Cricetulus griseus: one gene and its partner. Each later gene encodes a partner of the first gene's protein in a complex. Links are inferred from orthologs where the notes say so. Each region holds a gene or a part of one and is shown in the gene's direction. Other genes may lie near its edges. The genes, in order: Prpf40a and Sf1.

What was found.
Region 2: the proteins of Prpf40a (region 1) and Sf1 are in contact, whole or in part, in an NMR structure (PDB 8PXX), measured with the Homo sapiens proteins. The link is inferred for Cricetulus griseus from reciprocal best matches to the Homo sapiens genes PRPF40A and SF1. Residues at the interface, in NP_001352526.1 of Homo sapiens: His164, Ser166, Tyr172, Tyr174, Ser181, Thr182, Trp183, Tyr213, Tyr215, Ser222, Arg223, Trp224; in NP_004621.2 of Homo sapiens: Pro575, Pro576, Leu577, Pro578, Pro579, Gly580, Ala581, Pro582, Pro586, Pro587, Pro588, Pro589, Pro590.

What each region holds. Positions count from the first base shown.
Region 1 is NC_048599.1:121,219,450-121,227,303, forward strand, and holds part of Prpf40a (pre-mRNA-processing factor 40 homolog A), read left to right. Parts: intron 1-152; coding exon 153-515; intron 516-2,383; coding exon 2,384-2,492; intron 2,493-2,948; coding exon 2,949-3,013; intron 3,014-3,364; coding exon 3,365-3,529; intron 3,530-3,982; coding exon 3,983-4,091; intron 4,092-4,621; coding exon 4,622-4,772; intron 4,773-5,589; coding exon 5,590-5,723; intron 5,724-6,941; coding exon 6,942-7,056; intron 7,057-7,216; coding exon 7,217-7,320; intron 7,321-7,410; coding exon 7,411-7,527; intron 7,528-7,775; coding exon 7,776-7,854.
Region 2 is NC_048596.1:52,989,049-52,997,462, reverse strand, and holds the start of Sf1 (splicing factor 1), read left to right. Parts: upstream 1-3,317; 5' UTR 3,318-3,637; coding exon 3,638-3,668; intron 3,669-5,170; exon of another isoform or gene 5,171-5,175; coding exon 5,176-5,304; intron 5,305-8,414. UniProt on the Homo sapiens protein: Necessary for the ATP-dependent first step of spliceosome assembly. Binds to the intron branch point sequence (BPS) 5'-UACUAAC-3' of the pre-mRNA. May act as transcription repressor.

The sequences.
Region 1 (7,854 bases):
CCTTTGATTATTCCATTAGTGTTACCATTTTAAAATTTAATTTAGTTTCACTGTTACAGTATTGAAATAACCAGTTCTTTCTTTCTCCCTCCCCACTTCTATCCCTCTTATTCCTTCTCTTCTTCCCTCTGTCTCTCTCTTTTACTGTATAGCAAGCAAGAAGAATGTACTACAACATCAACAGCCCCAGTTCCTGCAACAGAAATTCCTACCACTATGAGCACCATGGCTGCTGCAGAAGCAGCAGCTGCTGTTGTTGCAGCTGCTGCAGCTGCTGCAGCAGCTGCTAACGCCAATACTTCCACCACTCCTACTAATACTGTGGGAAGTGTTCCAGTTGCTCCTGAGCCTGAAGTTACTTCCATTGTTGCTACTGCTGTAGATAGTGAAAATACAGTAACTATATCCAATGAAGAACAAGCACAGATTGCTAATACCACAGCTATTCAAGATCTAAGTGGTGACATATCCAGTAATACTGGAGAGGAACCAACTAAACAAGAAACTGTAACTGAGTAAGTTTAGTAATTCAAGACTTCTGAAAGTTAATGCCTGACTTAAACTATAAGAACTTGTTAATTTAGTCAATGAAATCAAAATCAAGGCAAAAAGGAAAAAAAAAATCAGTTTACAAACTTCCAGTATTTTAAATAAAGGCTTGGTGTCACCCCTGGTTGGTTTACTCTTTGGAAGGGTGTGTCTGTTTTCCTTCTCTGTTCTATGTGCTCAGTCAGAACTTCCAAGAAGTACTGTAGATTGCTGTTGAACACAGATGTGTTTTGGAAGGTGACAAGCTCTGCCAAATGGGATAGAATTAAACTTGATTTCATCCCTTTTTGGTTATTGGTGGTATCTGGCTTTCAGCTTGTTGTAAATAAATTGAAAAATATGAACAGTTTTTTTTGAAATATGCTTCAGTTAAGAGAAGGCACTTTATAGAGGAGTCACAAAAAGAAGCTCAGTGACAGTTGCAAGACTTCCTTTTTCTACCATATGAGCCAAGATACACAAAAAAGGCACAAATGGATGAATAGTCTGACCAAACACTATTATCTAGTTAATATTTAGTCTTGCTGCCTCCGTCTCTACTCCTTACCATCAGTGTTCTATGTCTCATATTAATTTCACAAATAGCTATATAATGTGTTCATGTTGAGATATTTTAAAAGAAACAAAATGGTACATTTGGAGGCAATTAAGAGTTAAGGTCACATTTTCTTTTACTCTTCTGACCTTAGCTATGCATATATTAAGGCATTTTCTGAGTGTATGTGTACATGTGTGCATATGCATATATATGTATCAGATATATTTTTCTGTATCCATAAAGGTCAAATGATGATATCATATGATGTAAGCTTTGGGAATGTCATTCTACATTTTATGCTTTAACATTGAACACCAAAATACTGAGATGCTCAAAATAACTTCTGTAACTTGGTATGATAGTTACATGTAATTTGTGCCAAGCCTCGTATATATTACTATTACTTTTAATGTTTAATCCAATATAATTTGTTACAGAATCAAATTCACAAATTGTGATGAGAGGTTTTTGTTTGTTACAGATATGTTTTATGATTATTTTAATTCTTTTGTATGAATGTGGAGGGCCAATTTTTTTTTCATAGTTTTAGAAAGATTTTTTTCCTAAAGAGTCCCAGTATAACTCATGAGTTATAATTTTTAATAATTTCAATTAAGTTTTATGTAAAGGCACTTATAAGAACAATATATGTTACTACATATTACATTCTTATGTCAGTATCTATTGCTGTTCCATTTCCATCCATTGAACTAAATTTTTTTCAATTCAGTGGACCTCAAACAAGTAGTTGTTTCTATATTATATTCTTTTTGAAATCAGAATTTATCAAGTCTGTTCTACAACTTGTCAAATAATATTTATTTGAGGTTAAACAGTGACTTGGTGTCCGTGCCATAGTATAAAATCATCCAAAAAGAATATATGGAATTAGCTGATTGCTATTAATGTTTATAAAATTAACTAAACTGGATTTTGCTAATCAATCATTTGATTGTTCTATACATCTTTTTTAGCTTTTTGTATACACTAAGGTATACACATTAGATCACTAATATGAAACAGCTGGATAAATATAATAAGCTATTTATTAGCCTCTAGACTAGTCTGATACTATAGATCAACTTAGTGTGATTTCCCCCTTATATTTGGCCTTTTTACAGGGCCTTATATCTGTAAATTTATTTCCTGTCTTCAGATAGTTTTATTTTCAGGGTTCATATAAGAAAATTTCTCTCAAAATTGTCAAGTTTTAGGTCAGCATCAGTTAAATGATTTCCTAAGCAGAAATTAGTTCCTGAAATTATGAATAGCATGTTTAAATTTCTCTCTCTCTAGTTTTACTCCTAAAAAAGAAGAGGAAGAGAGCCAACCAGCAAAAAAAACATATACTTGGAATACAAAGGAGGAGGCAAAGCAAGCATTTAAAGAATTATTGAAAGAAAAGGTATTATAATCTTTTTAAGTAACACATAATAATTTCCTAATAAATGTTCGCTTTGGTGCCTTTATTTAAAATACTAATTACTTGAACTGTTTTAACTGAAAACAAAGTAAATTTGTTGTGTTTTTATTGAAGAATGCTTTTGGAAACTCAACAAGGTATTATTTCACAATCATATTTTTGCCTTGATGTATAAGATTTTTTATTTAAATTATTGCTTGTCTTTTAGTTGGTGATCTAATGCGGAAAAAATACTGTTTCAATTTCAGTGTGAATTTTCTTTTTAGTCAATAAGTGTGTATCATAAATTTGCTTCATTGAAAATGGTTTTAGATTGTAAAAAAAAATCTGCAAAGGGGGAGGTGCTTGATATTTGCAATGAGTGTTAAACTTGCTTTCCTATGATAACCATTGTCTCTGTTGTATAAAATTTTAATTTTCCCTTTAAATAATTTTCAGCGGGTACCTTCCAATGCTTCATGGGAACAAGCTATGAAAATGATCATTAATGATCCTCGGTACAGGTAATACAATGACTTTAGAATTAACTTTACATTAATCTTAGGGCATTTAAAGTTATGTTCAACAGTTTAACTTTATAATACACAGCTGTTCATAGGTATATAATTATTTTAAATAGAGGTATTTTATGTGTTCTATAGCCAGAAATCCAAAAGGGTTGTCCTACAATTTGAGCACCTTGCTCCAAATGAAATTATAATCACTGAACACTAGAATTTGCTGTTTAAAATAATTGTATATCTTCAGTAAATTAGATATTTTCTTAATGTATGCGTCAAACATTTTTCTAAAGCAGTAACATTTTATTCTCCAGCCTTTATATTTATTCTTGTCTGATATTTTCTGTTATTTAGTGCTTTAGCAAAGCTGAGTGAGAAAAAGCAGGCCTTTAATGCCTATAAAGTCCAGACCGAGAAAGAGGAAAAAGAAGAAGCAAGATCAAAATACAAGGAAGCTAAGGAATCCTTTCAGCGTTTTCTTGAAAATCATGAGAAAATGACTTCCACAACCAGATACAAGTAAGATTTTTAATGATGGAGGCAATGTTCCCCCTGTTGTTTGTGTCGTACTTCTTGCTAACTCATCCAAAATGGATGGTCATGAAACAGCTGGGTAAATGAGCATGTGGCAGTTTTATAAGATAGCCAAAAAAATCAGTAACTTATAGGCTCACTTGAGGTGTTAGGGAATAGACATAATACATTAACTGTTACTGTTTTATAGTCTGCAGAAGGTGACTTGGGGGAAAGGGGCTATTTACATTGCAAAGCATTACCTAATGTGAATTGTCCTAAGAGAAAATAGAGACTTTGCTCTTCTGTTAATATTTTATTGATTTTCATAAAAGTTTTCCGAGTTAATGCATTTGTAAACTTGAAATGGAGAGTGTGTTAATTGAGTGCCTTTAAAAAAAAAAGTCTAAAATTGTACTGATGCATTAATCAAGTAACCCTTGATTTCATAATCACTAGAAAAGCCGAACAGATGTTTGGGGAGATGGAGGTTTGGAATGCTATATCAGAGCGTGATCGTCTTGAAATCTATGAAGATGTTTTGTTCTTCCTCTCAAAAAAAGAAAAGGTACTTTTTAAATTGTTGTTATTTCAACATTCTGAATAAGATTTTCTTTATTATAAATGAGTAAAAATTATAATGTCAGTTTCTTTGCTTAACTCCGTTAGTGTGTATATATCATATCTGTTCATTGGAAGCTGTGTTAAAAGATATAATGAGTAACTCATTTTTTCTCCTGTTTGTCAGTAAATTGTTTTGCATCTAGTATTGAAAATATTACTAAAAATTTGAATATCAGGGAATGCCTTTGTGTTTATATACTGACTGTACACAGTAGCCCTCATTATTAGTTATATCTGTAATGAATACTGGTAAGGCATAGGTTTATGAAATGAGGATACAAAACAATATAATTTTTTTGGATTTTGAATTCAAAGAGAGATGAAAAACTGAAGGTTTGGAAAACAGTAACAAAATGAAGGGTCTTGGTATATAATAACATTTGGACATTTATCAGAATATAAAGGAATCTTAAGTAATTATAATTTAGATATCTTGTTTGAATATTAAAAGCATTATTCAAATGTTTGTTGTAGGAACAAGCTAAGCAGTTACGAAAGAGAAACTGGGAAGCCTTAAAAAACATACTTGACAATATGGCTAATGTTACATACTCTACTACTTGGTCTGAAGCCCAACAATATCTGATGGATAATCCAACATTTGCAGAGGATGAAGAGTTACAGAGTAAGAACAATCACTACATAAGAAAAATGATAAGTAGTACCCCTTGAGTTATTCTTTACTTTCTGTATGAAATTCGAGGAATTGCTATTTTATGCAGTTGCTAGCTCAAATTTTACAAAATGATTACTATTTCTGAAAAAATACTTTATTTTCAAATGGGTTGTTTCTAATTGAATTTTGATTTAGAAAAATACTTTTCTAGAGATCTCAGTTAACATTTAACAGAAAATTCTTGAAATATGTAATAAATCAACTATTTATAGCTCACTGGTATCCAATCCCAGCATGGAGATGGAGTTGACCACAAAATCTTACTCTTAGCTGTAGAGCTTTAGCAACTGATGGCTGCTGGAAAGGAGACAGTTTTCTCAATCATAGCTCCTGATATATCAACTACTCTCAAGAGTAAGATCGTATATCCAACAAATTCTTCTTGGTGGATTTAAAATAAGTTTAGGGAGGTAGGGATGACAAAGTTAGCTGGCTAAGTGGTGTGTATATCTGTGAAGAAGTCAGTGGTGAATATGAGCAAAATGCACACAAAACTCACAGAACTAATAAAATTTTTTATCAATAAAATAATCTGTTTGGAATTAAGCATAACATTGCTCTGTTAGCCCGTTAATTTTGTCATGTGCATGTGCTCTTGCCTTTATTCTCTAGGATTTGAAGTCTTTCAAAACTTGTGTCATTACAAGATCATGTTTAAATTCAAATACAAACACTTTTAAACACTGAATTTGAAGTTTGTAAAGACTTTAATTAAACTGCTTTCTTTGTTAATATTTCAATTTTTTTAATCTGAAAAATACTTCAGACATGGATAAAGAAGATGCATTAATATGCTTTGAGGAACACATCCGGGCTTTAGAAAAGGAAGAGGAAGAAGAAAAACAGAAGACTTTGTTGAGAGAGAGGAGGCGGCAGCGTAAAAATAGGGAATCTTTTCAGGTAATAGAAAAATGCTTTTTCTAGTGTAGTTCAGTAACATAGTCATTGAACGTCAACAAGTATCAAAACAGTTTTGAGATGCTTGTTTCCAGTTCACTACATAGGCTTTGTTTTGGACCATATATATTGAACTTCTTAATTTCTATATTTTCAATTTTGTTCTTAGATATTTGAGGCAAGGGACTATAGCAGGCTGCAACAAACATTATTTAACTTGAGCATAAGGGTTTAGCTTACAAAAATAGCATGAGGACTGAGTGGAAACAAGATATAGGATATACTTTTTAGGAGTTGATATATGGTTCTCAAAGAACATGCTGTAGTACAGTTTAGGTGTGTAACATAATTAAGCACCTATGTGGGAGTTTAAATACTTTGAGAAAAGTAATTTATTCTTTATGGCTATTTTAGATTTATTTTATATGTATGAGTGTATTTCCTGCATGTGTGTGTGCAGCATCTGCTTGCCTGATGTCTAGATCCCCTGGAACTGGAGTTAGCGGTGATTTTGAGTCACCATATGGGTGTTAGGAACAGAACCTGGGCCTCTGCATGTGTTACAACTGCCTCTAACCACAAAGCCATTTCTTTAGTTGCCACATTTTTTTTGTTTTTAATTAATCAAATTTGAAATATCTAATTCTATTTAAAAACAAAAGCTATATTTTACAGCACAAACACATTTATTCTTTAGCCACATCATTTGAGAATAGATAATTCCAGTCATTTAGTATATATAGCTACATATATATATATACAATATTTTATGTACTTTTTGTTTTTTTAACTGGAAATAGTGTTCTATCTTAAGGGACAGGCAACTGAAGGCTAGAAGGGTACTGTAGTGTTTAAAGATCCCTTTCAGCTGGGCGATGGTGGCACACGCCTTTAATCCCAGCACTTGGGAGGCAGAGGAAGGTGGGTCTCTGTGAGTTAGAGACCAACCTGGTCTACAAGAGCTAGTTCCAGGACAGCCTCCAAAGCCACAGAAACCCTGTCTCAAAAAAAAAAAAAGATGCCTTTCTTTTGATGTTTTGTTTATAATTAATTGTGGTCTAAAAACATTTTTATTCCCATCAAATAGCAAATATTCTTTGTACCTAAACATACTGGATAACACTGTGAGAAAAACTTTTGATATTGCTAACAGTTCTTTATATGGATTTCTATGTTATCATTCTAATGAGTTTTCAAATATATTTGTTTCCTTTCTTACAGATATTTTTAGATGAATTGCATGAGCATGGACAACTGCATTCTATGTCCTCTTGGATGGAACTGTATCCAACTATTAGTTCTGATATTAGGTTCACTAATATGCTTGGTCAGCCGGGTGAGATTCTTTTCTTTCCAAACCTAAGATGGTAGTTGGAATGGATTGGTGGGTGGTAGGTGGTGGGTGGGAGGGGAGGTGTGTGCTTTATTTTATGTTTGTTTTACAAACAAAAAGTAATTGCAGCTCTTGGTTAGAGCTAGCTTTTTGACTTCTTTAGTTTTTTCATTAGGATCAACTGCACTTGATCTTTTCAAGTTTTATGTTGAAGATCTTAAAGCACGTTATCATGATGAAAAGAAGATAATAAAAGACATTCTGAAGGTAAATAAGACATATGTTCTTTCCTATTTGAAAACATCAATCTATTCCTTAGAGTTATGTGTTACTTATAACAAAATTTCTGGTTTTTAGGATAAAGGATTTGTAGTTGAAGTAAATACTACCTTTGAAGACTTTGTGGCAATAATCAGTTCAACAAAAAGATCAACTACTTTGGATGCTGGAAATATCAAGTTGGCTTTCAATAGTGTAAGTTTGATTATTACTGATAACTAGCCTATTATTCATCTAACAATTACTTACAGTTGTAGGTGAGTGGAATAAAGTACTATGAATAGAACTTATGTAAAGTGTATGCGGATGATTCACTGTACCTTTTATTGTTTTAGGTCAAATTAAAACATTTATAAATGATGCACTACTATATTTGAGAACAATAAATTATTTGAAACAGGGTTTATACTATCATAACTTATTACATATGATATTTTTGTTAGTTACTAGAAAAGGCAGAAGCTCGGGAACGTGAAAGAGAAAAGGAGGAAGCTCGGAAAATGAAAAGAAAAGAGTCTGCAT
Region 2 (8,414 bases), on another chromosome or scaffold:
TCTTAATGGGACTGTAGATCAAGTTGGCCTGTGGGCATGTCTTAAATTAGGAAGATTCAGGGCACTATGAGTGGCACTATCCCCTAGACAGGGAGTCTTGGGGTGGAAGAGGCATTTTTTTCTCTGCTTTTGACTATGAATATAACTACCTTCTTCAAGTTCCTGCCTCAGTTTCCCTTAAAGGATAGACTGTAACCTGTAATTGTAAGCCAACTAAGCCCTTTTTCCCGTAAAGTTACTTTTGCCAGGGCATTATTACAGCAATGGGAATGAAACGAGGATGCAATTCCGGGTTAAGGACCGAGAGGGGTGGAGACTGTAGTGCATGCTTCCCCTCCTAATCCTTTCCCTGTTTTTAAAATGTTTGTAGGCGCACACCTTGAGTCCAGGACATCCAGGGCTACATAACACAGTGAAACCCTGTTTCAAAAAAAAAAGGTATTTCAAGTCTTCTATCCTCCACTAATGCTTTTAAGACAAGCATGCTGGAGCAGGTTACTTCTCACTCTGTTATGTGTGGGGGTGTGGGTGTCATGTTCATTCTTAAACACATTTCATGTATTTCTCATATACTTCTTCACACATTAGTTCATCCAGCTCTGAAGGGTCAATCAGTGTCATCTTGATGGGCCAGCTACCTTTGTGGATTTGTTGGCGAGCCCCAGGTTTTCTGCACCTACTTTATGGATTTCACTTACCTCTTCTGAGAGGAGAGTTCACTAGCAGCCTTCACATTCTCTAGAGCACCACACTCTTCCCACAGCACAGTGGGTCTGGTGTGCAGCACTGCCCCTTGATGGGCAGGAAGCCATGGTGGTGTGCAGGCTACAGGCCATGGCCCCCATGCTCCTTGCCACTCCCAGGGCCATGATCAGGGCTCCAAGGGTTGCCATGGTAAGCCTCCACCACCACTTACTTTTCTATTGCTACGAAGAGACACCATGACTAAGGCATGTTATAGAAGGAAGAATTATTGGGGGCTTCCAGTTCAGAGGTTAAGTCTCTGACCATCATGACAGGGACCATGGCAGCAGGCATGGTGCTGTAGTAGTAGCTGAAAACTTACACTGTATTAGCCAAGTACAAGGCAGAGAGAGACAGAGAGAAAAACGGGGGTGGGACATTCCTATTCAAACTATTACAGCTTGCCATGGCTGGCTCCATAATAATTATTTCCAGTATGTGGGACTCAAACCCAGGTCTTTGGCCATATTAGGCCAGCATTCTACTACTAAAGTACAGCCTTAGTCCCTGTATTTAGTTTTATTTATTTTTGGTTTTTCGAGACAGGGTTTCTCTATGTAGCTTTGGAGCCTATCCTGGCACTTGCTCTGGAGACCAGGCTGGCCTCGAACTCACAGTGATCCACCTGTCACTGCCTTCTGAGTGCTGGGATTAAAGGCGTGTGCCACCAATGCCTGGCCCAGTTTTAGTTTTTAAAATTTTTGATGTGTATGGGTGTTTTGCCTGCATGTTATGTTTGTGCACCACCTGTGAGCAAGCAGTGCCTGAGGTGTTCAGAAGAGGGAGTCTCGATCCCTTGAACAGGAGAGACATGTTTGTTAGTTGATATGTGGATATCAGGTCCTCTAGAAGAGTAGCCAGCGTTCTTTACTGAGCCATCTCTCTAGCCATTCCTCTACTTAGTCTTGAAGGCTTCTGTGGGTATTACAGACATTTGGTTTTTCTTCTATTTTTGCAGTTCTAGAGGTAGAATCAAGGAAGTTGCATGTGATATGCAAAAGCTCTACCACTGATGTGTATTCTCAGGCCAGACATTTGCTCCTTCTCTGTTGCATGGCAATTTCCTCCCTAATCTGCCACGACCTGTTGACTTGTACCACACAGCATACTTGAGTTTCTTGTCTTGAGTTTCTTGTCTTGAGTTTCTTGTCTAGATTCCTAGATTACCCCACATCTTCTAAATTGTCTACGTGTTTTCAGATTTTTTCTACATCATTTTTAAAATTTTGTCTAATGTACATGGGTATTTTGTCTGCATGTAAGTCTGTGTACCACATGCATGCAGTCCCTGTGGGGCCAGAAGAGGGCTTTGGATCCCCTGGGGCTGAAGTTACAGGTGGTTGTGAACTGTCATGTGGGTGCTGGGAATTGAACCCAGTTCTTTGGAAGAGCAGCCAGTGTTCTTAACTGCTGAGCCATCTCTCCAGCCCTTCTACATCATTTATTAAACATCTTTCTCTCTACTGGGTTGAAGTAATCAGCTTTGTGATTATCCTATTCCCAATTATATTCTGTTGTGTTACTGGGTTTTCCTGCAAAAAAGTTGTTTCATTGCTCTTATGTTTACTTTATGAGAAGGCATTTCCATGGTCATATACTTTTAAGGTAACTTAGTCAAATTCCCAACACACTGATTACGATGGAAAAAACTTTTGAATTGTTTCTAAGAATGACTGTGAGCTCCTGATTTTTCTTTGCAAGAGCTAAGATTGCAGGCATATGGCACTAAGCCTGTTTTTTTTTTTTTTTTTTTTTGGCACAGATATACTCTATCCCAGGATAGGCCCCAAATCATGGCAGCTCTCCTGTCTCAACCTCTCAAATACTCAGGTGGCCACCTTGTCTTTCATCTGAGGTTATATGGTTTGTTCTATCACTTTAGGTATTAATTTCTTAGAGATCCGCCTGCCTCTGTCAACAGAGTGCTGGGATAAAAGGCGTGCACCACCAACGCCCGGCACTCGCGGTGGCAGAGGCAGGACAGCCAAGGCTACGCAGAGAAACGTCTCGAAAAACAAAACAAACAAAAATAACAAAAGGACCCAAACCAAAAATTAAGCCACAAACAAAAAACTACCCTATTCCGTAACTTTATTTTTCTAAAGAAAACAGGAAGTTCTCTACCTGCGTCGCCGACGTATCCGGTTCATTCACTCGAGCCCGCCCATTGCCCGCGGCGGTTCCTGGTTACCTCAGGCACAATGACTAACGTCACTTACAGCTTCCGCTCCCGCCCCGCTGGTGGAGGGACAGAGGCCGCCGGGCCTCACCACGCATGCGTACCTCCTGCTCCCCGCCTCCCCCGATCTTCCTTCGGGCTTCTCCTCCGGGCTTTCTCGATTCCCGAGCAACTCGTCCCCGGGGAGCGGAGTCGTTTCAGCCAATCCCGAGGCATTACGACGCCGAGGAGCGGGACTCCATCAACTCCAGCCAATGAGCTAGCCGTTCGCTCTACGTCATAGACTTTGCCCCACCTTAATCTCCGCCCCTCCGGCCTGGGCGCTCAGTCCGCGCAGTAACAAATGAGGTGCGCGCTGCGACACCTCCCAGCTCACCCGGCCCCGCCGCCATTTCGTCGCCTGGCCTAACGGTTCGGCCAATCCCGACACGTATCGAAAAGGACTAGCGCTCCACCAATCGGAGGCCGCTGCCTCCGACCTCACCTTGGGCCGGCCCAATCCAGGCCCCGGTCCCGCCGCCCTCAGACCGCCCCCGCGGCATCCTCTCTCCTCCCTCTTTGTGCGTCTGGCGCCGCCGCCGCCCGCCGCGTGAGAGGACTGGCTCCCCGCGCTCCTCGGCAGCGTAGTCGGGTCCCCTCCCCCCCCGGAAGGTTCGCGAAGGAGAAGCCGCCGCCGAGGACGAGGAACCGCTGGTGCCGGTCCCCTGGGGCGCCATGGCGACCGGAGCGAACGCCACGCCGCTGGGTAAGCTGGGCCTTTCAGGCCTTCCCCCCGCTTTCTGGGCCCAAAGGCGGCTTCGAGCCGGGCCCGCTGGCGCCTGGGCCGCTGCCACCGGTGGGATCGCTGGGGGCCCTGACGGCGGCCTTCTTGGTGGCGTCGCCGCCGCCCCCGGCCTGGAACCCTCCACTGCGGCCGCCCCCGCGCCGCCGCTCTTCCAGCGAGGGTCGCCTCCGTGCCAGGACCAGCAGCCGGGCCCGTCCGGCGGCGGCGGCGGCGGCGGTGGTGGCGGTGAGTCGGGCCGATAGAGCGCGAGGAGCGCCGCGCGGACCGGACCGGAGCGGCCGGCCGGCCGGCGGAGGGGCACGCGACCGAGGTTTCACGCGGCAAGGACGCGAGCGCGAGCGCGTGCACGGGAGGCCCGGGCGGACGCGCCCCAGGGTACGCGCGGCCTGGTTTGGGAAGCTCCGAGTGCGCATGCGCCCTCTGAGAGGAAGACGGGCGGGAGGAAGCGTCCATTGCGCAGACGCAATGAGGCGTTCAGGCTTTGTGGCGCAATTCTGAGGGCTTGAAGAGGCCACCTGTTGCCCCTTGAGCTGGTGTATACAGGAGAGTGTAAGAAAGTCCACGTAACGATGTGGTGTGAGGGGTCCCCCTTACGGTTTTAGGAACCTGAAAGGGAGACCAGTCCCGTGTCAAGAGTGTCTCTTTTTTTTTGCAATAAGGCCAGTTTGGAAGACTTGTGGTGATGCTTGGGTTCGATTTTTCTTTTTAAGGCTGTTTATCTCTTTTTGTTTTCTAGAAGGTTTTGAGTGACCATCTTTCCCCGTGCTGATTTAAAAGACTTTTCCCCTGGCCTGTAATCCTGAGAAGTAGAAAACCTTGTGTGGTAAATGTAGGGAAGAATTGGATACATCAGAGTTCTGATGACAGGTGTCCACTGGTCAGAAAAACTGAATGCTGGTCTTGCCGTGTGAGCATGGTCTTACTGAAGGATGGGACGTTTCACTTAGTGATATGTAGGAAGAGCTTTGGGTGTTGTTTTCCTTTGGAGCTAATCTGCTGCTTTGTAGATCTGATTGTCCAACTTTACTGCCGTTTAGAGCTTCCAGAATTGATGTACATCTCCTTAGAACTATTAAGAATTGGAAGCAAGGGTGCAGTGGCTCATACCTTTAATCCCAGCAGAGACAGGGAGACAGACAGAATAGGTGTGCTTCAGTAGTGTAGAGCCTTTGCCTAGCATTTGCACGACCTGGGTGTTCCCAGCACCACAAGAGAAAATTTGTTCCTTGTATTTACATTCTCTAGCAAGTTTTCCCAGGAAAAAAGAATATAAATGTGAAGTGTTCATTAACTTCTCTGACAGGACCAGATACCTTTATGTCTGCTTGTATTCCTCTCTGACCTCTGAAGCTCCTTTCTTTTTAAATTTTAGGTGGATTTCTGTTTTAGTCTTAATTGTCATGAACTGCCTGTTGGTAGTCACTCTCATGGTTCGTGTTTCCTCCTGATGGGCTCTGTCTGTCTTTAGACTTCCCAAGTAAGAAGAGGAAGAGGAGCCGGTGGAACCAAGACACAATGGAACAAAAGACAGTGATTCCAGGCATGCCCACGGTTATCCCCCCTGGACTGACTCGGGAACAAGAAAGAGCTTATATAGGTAAATACACGTTCTGCATCCAGGTGCATCTTCAAATTGTGACTGCTTATTCTGAGGACAAATCTATTGAAAGTCTGAGGTTTTAGTTTTGGGACAAGGTGTGATCAGGTGTGCTTTTTATAGCTTTGGTGTAAACTGTGATTTGCATGGCCAGTCCTGGATTTGTAACTTGTTTGGGCCTGCTCTCAGCAGCACATAGGCCTTACTAAGCAGCCCACTTCTCAGCTGCTCTTGCTCATTGATGAGGTGCATGCTTATCTGCCTCTCTGGACAGGCCCCAGTGGAGAACACTGCAGGTATTTGTAAACCAGGTGCCTTTTTTGTAACATGGCCTTTCATCATAATGTCATGGTTCCCTTTCCCTAAAATGTGGTTTTGCTTTTTTTTATAGGTTACAAAACAGTTCAAACAAAAAGTGGCTCTGAAAGTATTTACAGCTCACCCATTTTTACTGTTTTGTTGAATTTAATCCTTCCCTTCAGCATCTTGTTTGGTCTTTAGAGAGCTGTCTTAAAAATAAAAGCTCTTAGCCCGTTGGTGGTACACGCCTTTAAGCCCAGCACTCAGCAGGCAGAGACAGGAGGGTCTCTGTGAGTTCAAGGCCAGCCTGATCTACTGAGCAAGTTCCAGGACAGGCTCCAAAACTACAGAGAAACCCTGTCTCAAAAATAAATAAATAAATAAATAAATAAATAATGAAGGCTCTTGTAAAACCACGAAAAAACTCTACTGGGAAGGGTTTATTGTTTGATTTGAAATGAGGTGGTGGCAGGATTTTAAAAATTTAAGTTGAATTGAAATTAAACCTCAAAATTACTTAGAAACCAAGGTCATTCATACAAATTATATATGTCTGTCCAGCTGTCTTAAAAAGTACACTTGATAAACATTTTCAACTAACCAAATAAACATCCTCTTTGGGCAGAAACCTAGTGGGTCCATGAAGCTGTGACCTTCACAAACATAGCTTCAGGGCCAATGTGGTCTAAATCTGGAGGGTCTTCATTTCCTGGTTTTTAGATTGCTGAGAATTTTAAGGCGTTGGAATTGTCTTCTTGTCACAGTACTACTAATACTACTTTTTCTCACTGTTGCTGTTTACTCTTATCCAACTCTTAGGTGTCATTAGACCAGTGTTGGACCTTCCAACCTTATAAAATGCCCCTAATGGTATCACAGCCCAAGAACGTAGAATCTGAGAAACACTTAATACTTTACAACTCTCTTTTCCTCTGGAGGCCCAGTTAATGCACTAAGCCCTTAAAGACTATTTAATTTACATCTTTCATCAAAGTAGGTAGACTCAGAGTTAGAGGCTAGTATAAGTTCTTTGCTTCATGGGAGATAATAGCCTTTTCTGGTTTATTTCGTTCTGGGTATTCAAGTTAGATCCTATTGTAGTTTCTTTTGTCTGAAGTTCTTGAGCTTAATGTCTTACTGTAAAGCTAGAACTTGTTTGGAGTAAAGGAGTTTGGAGGGCAGCTGTGTCCCATGGCGTACACTTGTCCAGATGTCCTCAGGATCCTCTCGCTATTCAGTTTACTTTCTTTTCTTTTTTCTTTTTTTTTTTCCTTCAGAGACAGGGTTTCTTTGTGGTTTTGGAGGCTGTCCTGGAATTAGCTCTTATAGACCAGGCTGGTCTTGAACTCACAGATCCTCCTGCTTCTGCCTCCTGGGTGCTGGGACTAAAAGCGTGCGTCACCACTGCCCAGCTGATAATTCTAATTTTAAAGTATGTCTCACAGGGCTATACAACATCCCCATGCTGAAAACACTGAGTAAAAGTAAACTGAAGCTGGGCGTTGGTGGCCCACGCCTTTAGTCCCTGCACTTGGGATGCCGGTGCATCTTTTGAGGCCAGAGAGTTACAGGAAGGACAGGGCTGCAAAGAGAAACTCTGTCTTAAGAACAATTATCTGTAGTTAGGTATGCATTAATCCTAATTATAAGTAAGCTGTGCCCTTCCTACCTGCTCAGAAACCTGGGGTATGATAAAGATACAGGATAGGGCCATGATCTTTTAGCCAGGCATAGCGCACGCCTTTAATCCCAGCACTGGGGAGGAGAGGCAGGAGGATCTCTGTGAGTTCGAGGCCAGCCTAGTCTCCAGAGCCAGTGCCAGGATAGCTCCAAAGCTACACAGAGAAACCCTGTCTCAAAAAACCAAAAAAAAAAAAGATAGGCTAGGTAGTTACAAACACAACATATTGAAGAATCCACTCTGTTATCCCGCTGTGTTACATTTCCCATGAGTTACTAGAAGCTTTTAGTGAAATCCTCATCTTATGTCATTTCAATGCCACATGCATTCTCTTTGACCCTCATTTTCCATCTTTTACACACCTCCCTACATCAGTAGCTGGTCTGAAAGTAAACTAAGCCAGGTGTAGTAGTAGCACATGCCTTTTACCTAATCACTGGGGAGGCAGGGACAGGTGATCTTTGAGTTCTAGGCCAGCTTGGTCTACATAGGGAGTTACAAGACAGCTAGGGCTGTTTTTGAGACCCTGTCTCAAAACCAAAAACAAACCTGGCAGTTGTGGCACACACCTTTAATCCCAGTGCTCTGGAGGCTGAGGCAAGTGAATCTCTTAAGTTGAAGGGCCAGCTTGATCTACAGAGCAAGTTCCAGGACAGCCAGGGCTACACAGAGAAACCCTGTCTCAAAACAAAAAAGCAAAGATAAAACAAAGACTTACAGAAACTTACTTAGGCCTACTGGTTTATAAAGAAAGGTATGTGGTTTGTTCAGTATTTTAAGTAAAAACTGCAGGTATTGGGGGACTCAGTACAAGTCTGCTTATACAGAAAGTATACGTATGAATTTGTAAAATGTTGAATTGGTTATTAAATGCTTGCTTAAAGAGAGTTTCAAACCTGGTCTTAATGAAAATGGTCTTTGTTCAAATGCTATTTTTTTGTTGTCCCATATTGAGTAGTTTTGGGCTGTGTTTAATATTTATTGAAGAAATAGAAACTCAAGTCTTGCCCTGAGTTTGGTGGGAACCAGGTACTGATGATAACTTAAATGGTGTTGGTTCAGGGTGCCAGTTGTAAGCAAGTGTTGGTGGGGAAGGGAAGAGGTGAATATTTACCTCCTGATAATTGCA